Linked DNA regions of Kluyveromyces lactis. The protein of the gene in region 1 interacts with the protein of each later gene in a pairwise test. Links are inferred from orthologs where the notes say so. Each region holds a gene or a part of one and is shown on either strand. Other genes may lie near its edges.

Evidence for each region.
Region 2: the proteins of HIS4 (region 1) and FMP48 interact in binary tests that used the Saccharomyces cerevisiae proteins (3 or more experiments, as listed by UniProt). The link is inferred for Kluyveromyces lactis from reciprocal best matches to the Saccharomyces cerevisiae genes HIS4 and FMP48.

What each region holds. Positions count from the first base shown.
Region 1 is NC_006039.1:108,259-112,639, reverse strand, and holds HIS4 (trifunctional histidinol dehydrogenase/phosphoribosyl-AMP cyclohydrolase/phosphoribosyl-ATP diphosphatase), read left to right. Parts: upstream 1-1,456; coding exon 1,457-3,844; downstream 3,845-4,381. Other genes in the region: BIK1 (Bik1p), read left to right, coding at 1-1,095; SDH7 (Sdh7p), read left to right, coding at 4,159-4,381.
Region 2 is NC_006037.1:243,873-247,159, forward strand, and holds FMP48 (protein kinase FMP48), read left to right. Parts: upstream 1-1,209; coding exon 1,210-2,508; downstream 2,509-3,287. Other genes in the region: MCO32 (Mco32p), read right to left, coding at 2,772-3,287.

The DNA.
Region 1 (4,381 bases):
AATGGAAAAAACGATGGAACTTTCAGAGGCAGACGGTATTTTGAGACTTCTTTCCCTCAAAGTGGACTTTTTATCCAATGGGAAAAGATCGCCAACTTGATCCCAATACCTTCTAACCCTGAGGCAAATATGACCATACCACCTGCATCACCTACTCCCGTAAGGATTAACGCAAATTTTTTAGGGTATCATGAACCTCTTCAAAACAGTTTTCCTGAAATCAAGTCGCGAACTAGTATTTCAAATGTCATTCAACCGAATGACGATCCGATGCAAACTACTTCCTCGGACTTAAAAATGTTACAAACAGAGCTAGTTCAATACAAAAGACTAGTAGAGGATCAACGAATTGTATTCGAGGAGATCCAAGCTGCAATTGATGAATATGAGACTAAGTTGGATACCACAGAAAAGGAGAAAGTTCTACTTCAAAACCAACTCGACCATGAAAGAACGTCCCATCAGCGCCAAAAGCAGTTTTATGAAAGTGAACATGATCAGCTTTTGACTGTGATAGACGAGCTCCAATCTGAGATAAACCGGAATGCTGCCATATTAGCCGAGATTATGCAGAAGGAAAAGAAAAATTCCCTTGAAAATGATTATGTTATGCAAGATGAACCGAACAGTGATGCCCTTTTAATTAACGATTTAAGGGAACAGATACTAGAACTACAGCAACACAAGACTCAAGCTGAATTGCATAGGGTCCAATGGGAGAAAGAGAAGGAGCAACTGCAATTCCGTAACCAGTCGTTATCAAAAGAATATAAAAATTTGACTACTGAGATGACAGAGTATCAACAGAAATCCCATGATACAGAGACAAAAGAGTATACTCTCAACAAGGAATTAGACGATGCAAGGAAAAAAATTGGGGAGCTCGAATCCCGAGTCGAAGAATTATCCAAAAAACAGGAAGAAAATACACTTATTGTGGACAGTAACATTGAAACCTTGCCGTTATACAATCCAGGTGCCGAAGTAAAGTCAACTTTAGTGAATGCAGCTGCAGGGCGCTCGTTGTGGTGTGCTCTTTGCGAAAAAGACGGTCATGAATCAGTAGATTGCCCATACGACGACAAATTCTTTTAGAGTCAAAATTCGTCCCTTTTAATATCCATTGTTGTACTTGCATCATATATATAGCATACTTAGCGCATCATCATATAATGAATCATCTTATAATGAATTACCTACAGTCCATCAATCGCATCCGGACTTCTTCTTCGAGTTTTCATTGGCTTTCCTGTGTTTTTTTCATCATATGACTCATGTAATTCAGTGCATATGCGTTCAATCATATTTTCACAATCCACTGCAAAAATCAAGCCTCCTGGTATATAAAAATGAAAATATGAAATATGAAAAAAAAATAAGTTAGTCGTCATGCTTTATCAAATTTCGTTACATTCAGGACTGTCCACCTAAGACAAGAAGTCATAAAGCACCAGAAATGTTGCCTGTTGTACCTGTGTTCAATGCTGTCAATGCGTTGAAAGAAAAGACTTACCTTTACTTATCCAGTCAATTAGTACTTGATGGGAAGGATATGACTAAAGATGATATTTTGGAATTTGTTCAGAATAGTCATGGTCAAAATATTTCTGTTCTATTGAAAGACGCAAAATTTGAGGATGATGATCTGATTGTTCTATTGAATAATGGCGTTGTAACCTTGTTTATTGATTCTGATGATTATGCTGCTCATTTAGTTGAAATTGGGGTACCAAGCATCAGATTGACCTTATTAAAAGATGGTGCATACCAGTTCAGCTTTGGTCAAATACAAGAGATCCAACAATCTCAATTGGTTAAAGCATCTGAAATTTCTTTGGAAACATTCACTAATTCTGTCCTTTCTGGCATGAAAACTGATCGTCCAGATGGTTTATATACTACCTTAGTCGTTGATGAAAATGAACGTTCTCTAGGTTTGGTATATTCTAATAAAGAGTCCGTTTCTTTGGCCATCGAAACACAAACTGGGATCTACTTTTCCCGTTCACGTAACGAAATTTGGCGTAAAGGTGCCACTTCTGGGAATGTTCAAAAATTATTATCTATTGAGTTGGATTGCGATGGTGATGCACTAAAGTTTGTGGTCAGACAAGGTGGTTCAGGGTCCTTCTGTCACTTGGAAACCGAATCTTGCTTCGGTAACTTCAGACATGGGTTATACGGTCTACAGAAGCTTTTACAGGAAAGACTCCTTAATGCCCCAGAAGGATCATACACCAAAAGACTATTCAATGATTCGGACCTTTTAACTGCCAAGATCAAAGAAGAAGCAGAAGAACTTACCGAAGCTGTTGATAAAAAAGATATAGCTTGGGAATGTGCTGATTTATTTTACTTTGCTATGGCTAGGCTAGTTGCCAATGGCGTATCATTAGAGGATGTTGAGCGTAACCTAAATACCAAACACTTGAAAATCACAAGAAGAAAAGGTGACGCCAAACCTAAGTTTCTCAAGAAGGAACCAGTTGCTGTCCATGAAGAAGATGGAAAAATTGTTCTTAACGTTGTTTCCGCTAGTGACAAAGCTGCCGTCGAAAAGGCAGTCACAAGACCAATTCAGAAAACAGCTGAAATTATGAACCTGGTTAACCCAATCATTGAAAACGTTATTAAGAACGGTGACAAAGCGCTAGTTGAATTGACAGCTAAGTTCGATGGTGTCCAATTAGAAACACCAGTTTTGGAGGCACCTTATCCAGAAGAATACCTTGATGGATTGACTGATGAACTAAGAGATGCTTTGGACCTGTCTATTGAAAATGTAAAAAAGTTCCACGCTGCTCAAATGCAAAGTGAAACCCTAGATGTCGAAACTCAACCAGGTGTTGTCTGCTCTAGGTTCCCTAGACCTATCGAAAAGGTTGGTCTATACATTCCGGGTGGTACAGCAATCTTACCAAGTACTGCGCTTATGTTAGGTGTACCGGCCCAGGTTGCTGGATGTAAAGAAATTGTTTTCGCATCACCTCCAAGAAAGTCTGACGGTAGAGTTTCTCCTGAAGTTGTTTATGTTGCAAGTAAAGTCGGTGCTTCAAAGATCGTATTAGCAGGTGGTGCACAAGCTATTGCTGCAATGGCCTACGGTACTGAATCCGTTCCTAAAGTGGACAAAATCTTAGGCCCTGGTAACCAGTTTGTTACCGCAGCAAAAATGTATGTTCAAAACGACACTCAAGCTTTATGTTCTATCGATATGCCAGCTGGTCCAAGTGAAGTCTTGGTCATTTGTGATGAAGAAGCTGATGTTGACTTTGTTGCATCGGATTTGCTATCACAGGCTGAGCATGGTATTGACTCTCAAGTTATTTTGGTAGGTGTCTCGTTATCTGACTCGAAGATTGAAGCTTTACAAAATGCTGTTCACGAACAAGCTATGCAGCTACCTAGAGTTGATATTGTTCGTAAATGTATCGCCCACAGCTCAATCATTCTATGTGATTCTTACGAAGAAGCCTTCAAGATGTCGAACCAATATGCTCCTGAACATTTGATTCTACAAATTTCAAATGCCGAAGACTATGTCAAAGATGTGGATCACGCCGGTTCCATTTTTGTTGGTGCTTATACTCCAGAATCATGTGGTGATTACTCTAGTGGTACGAATCATACATTACCTACCTATGGTTATGCTAGGCAGTACAGTGGTGTGAACACAGCCACTTTCCAGAAGTTTATCACTTCTCAAGTGGTCACCCCAGTCGGTTTAGAACATATTGGTCATGCTGTGATGAGTGTTGCTAAAGTCGAAGGCTTGGATGCTCACAGAAACGCAGTCAAGATCAGGATGTCAAAGTTGGGCTTACTACCATCAGGTTTTGAATAATATAGAACTAACTTATTAAGATTTGAATTTAATATCTAAAAGAAAAATAATGCTATGTTTGTATAGAAATGAATAAACTTTAACCATTCGAATTGTTTAGAAGCTTACTCCAGAAGCACGCGTTGAATGCATGAAACTTCCCCAGAGATTTGCATATTCAAAGTATCAAAATATTACTTCACGTGACTTCTAAATACAAAAACAATGGAAATCTTAATGAAAATGCTTGATACCGCATATCATCATCGCTAGAGTTGAATAAATTGATGATATAGAGCTGTGACTCCGCGTAACGTACCAGCAACCCATTAAACATGCAGGTTAACCATCTATTAAGGCAAGCTGTCAAACAGACCACTAGAGCGGGACGGCTAGGTTCGAGGAAACCTCACAAACCGCTCTTGCCTCCGTTACAATTGTACCGTAGAATCCTCAGAGAACACAGAAACTTACCAACGATGCAGAGAGAGTTGGGAGATCAATATGTCAAGAATGAATTCAAGTTGCATAAGAGTACTGACAATCCCTTATACATTG
Region 2 (3,287 bases), on another chromosome or scaffold:
ATCGTTTTGCTGAATTGAGGTTTTCCTGGTGAGAGACCCAATTCGTTAAAAACAGCTTTTCTCTTTTCTTCTTCCATAGGCTTAAGTCCAGGCTAAACGATTTCCCCTTTCTTCCCTTTCTATTGCCATTACAACGGCTGTAAAGAAACGATATAATGTAAACCGGAATGAAGTTGAAACAAGTTTATGTACTGAATTTAAACTCTAAACTCCTCCCGTCTCCATATTTCGTTTATCGGTACGTAGATAATTAAGTTCTTTGCAGATAAACCTGGGCTCATGTATCTAGTGGAAAATTTATCACCAGGACAGTGCTCGAAATTTGCTAGTTAGATAAGTAGGAGGAGGCATGGTTGTTTGGCCTGTCGTTTGGGCTACGGCTTGGACTTGGTCTTAGTGATATTTCCACCCTTCTACTTGTTCTTTTCTTCACCGCTGACTCACACTCCATCTGGTAGAAGTACTGAGATGGTGCGTAGACTTATGTTTTTTAATTGCATTCTTGAAGGTGTGAAAATTTGCACGAATTGGTGCTTATGAAAATGTGATCCAGCTCATTATATCATCATTCAAGAGCAATATATGTGTATGATTTGGTAGTGTTCGAGACCCGAACCCCTGTACTACGATGCCAGAAAAAACGTAGCACATACTTAGGTGAACATAAATTATTATACATCGTGTTCAGTTGATAAGCAGTTTCTACATTTACTGGAATCAACGTCAAATGCTGTCTAGGACATAATTCAGCAATCAGAATTCGTCCAATATGGTGTCTTATCTTAAGCACAGACTAGCTTATACGGCTGTTTTTTAGATAGTACGGAAGTAGGGAGAAGAGGGTTTGGTGCCTGGTGCTTCCCTTCACTTCCTTTGTTTTGTTATAGTGTTTGAAGTCTCTCCCGTGTGTATGTCTTTGAATTCGGTTCAATTAAACGGTTCCTGCATGTCAATTACTGTAGATGGGGGTTTTCCCTGGCTTTGAGGTTTTGCCATATTATATATATATATATATATATGTGTCGAGGAAGTCAGATTGGGTAACAATGTTATCCTGGTGCAAATAGTCGTATACGCAAGGCTTATGTTCGCTCTTTTTGTTGCCAGATCACCTGACGTATCTTAGTATAAGAGTATTATAAGGTGTCACCTGCTCCACTACCCATTAGAGACGTTTTCATACCGAGCATTCATTCCCACGAAGTCGATATGCATAAGTATCAGCCGATAGATGTGATTCAAACTGGTTCTTTTAGCACGGTATACCGTGCTTACGATTCCAAGACTGGTAGTTATGTTGCCATGAAAGTTGTTTCTAAGCCAGCTGATCCAGTTAAACTAGAAGCAATTAGTAAATTGGTAAGGAATGAGTACAGAGTGCTCAAGAAATTGGGCAATAGACATCCTAATATCTGCGCTATGCTTGATTTCTATCAGGATCATGAAAAATTCGTATTCGTGTTAGAATACTGCCATAATGGTGATTTATATGACTATATGAAGCGAATTAAGGAATCAGGAGGTACTGATAAAAATTCAAAAAATGCTCGAAATAGCAAATCTTCATCTAAAAGCCCACCCAAATTACATTTTCACTCGCTGATGTTTCAACTTTGCTCAGCGTTGAAATACTGTCATACATTAGGTATCGCCCATAGAGACTTCAAACCTGAGAATATTTTGGTCACCAACACGGGAAAAATCAAATTAACTGATTTTGGACTATCGTACTTTGGCGAAGTCGCCTCGGATCACGGTATCGGAACGGAAAAATACTTGGCTCCTGAGACTTTCTCACATAATGATACTTATAACACTTACAGTGCGGATTTATGGTCTCTAGGTATTTCAGTACTGTATATCGTTTTCGGTTCTTGTCCGTTCAAATCTGCCAACATCGATTCTCCTACCAAGAATACCAACTTCATTGTCTTCAATGATAATCCTGTGAAATTTGTTAAACAGTATTACCTACCGAATCTCTTAGAGGGCTCTAATCGTTCCAATAATTGCTCGGAGTCAAGCAGGCATGCCATTGTAGGCAGCCAGGATTATTGGCTTGAATTGGTACCTAATCTATCTCATCCAGAACATCTTCTGCTACTTATTTCTCGTTTGGTGATAGCTCATCTTCTTTGTCCACCAACTCACCGTAATATTGATACGTTTTATGCTAACATAGATTATTTCACCAACGATGTTCAGATGATCAAATGCTGCCCGGAAATCACCCCTCCACTCTCTTCATCATCATCATCTTCATCGGCATCATTATCGGCACAAAAATATAACCAAAAGCAATGTGCAACGTACCCTCCATCACCAGCATCATTAAAATCTACATCTTTCTCATTTTTAAATTTTGAACCTGCAGCTGAGAGTATTTCATTTGAGGACTGGATCCCAAGAGATAACTCCAGAAATTCGTGGACCTATGACTGGGATGCAAACACTACTTGGCCAATTGACAGTGAATCATTTGCCGTATTATCAAGTAACAGTGTGTAACAACTAACCATTCAATTCACTTCGTGTCCAAACAACGAACTTTAAATAGTAGACATCTAATATTCATACCAGGTTCAACACTATTTTCTAGCTTTGCCTTCCAGTAAGGTTTCGTTAATTGCCCTAGTGATATAATCATAATAAAAAACCCATCTAAATTAACATACTTCCATACACGTAAATATATATGTCTCAAGTTGGAAATAAAGAAAAGGCAACGTGTATATACAAGAGTGCACTTGTGGAATCGATAACCATAGAGATCATGGTCCTGACCATGTCTTGAAGTAGGCGATTGCACCATTTTGAACCTTTGAACTAAAATCTATCTTTTTATCTTTTTCGATTATTTCGACATCATCTATTAGATGACTCGTAATCTTATCACAGTTCTCATTCAAACCAAAGATAAAGATCCCTGAAATTTTCGTCTCTGACTCAGCTTTCTTGATACTCCCTAGATTATCTGCAGCCAAGGGATGGGTTTCCCATCTCATAATTACTTCATGCTTCTCAACGTCAAGGCTTTTAATACGTACCCTGTTTTCAACTGAGAATGCAAAAGTGTTCAATAAGAACCGTATGCTATTCCAGACAGCATAATACTTCGTTATTCCGGAGAAGCTTGGCAAGTACGGATGGGTAATAGGCATAATCTTCAACTCTATGTCTTTGCTTAGTCTCGGTTCATGTAAAGAAGTTTGTAGAAGATGTGGGACATTTGACTGCAAGTATGTTATCGTACATCCCAAATTCACACGACGGATATTTTCAGTACT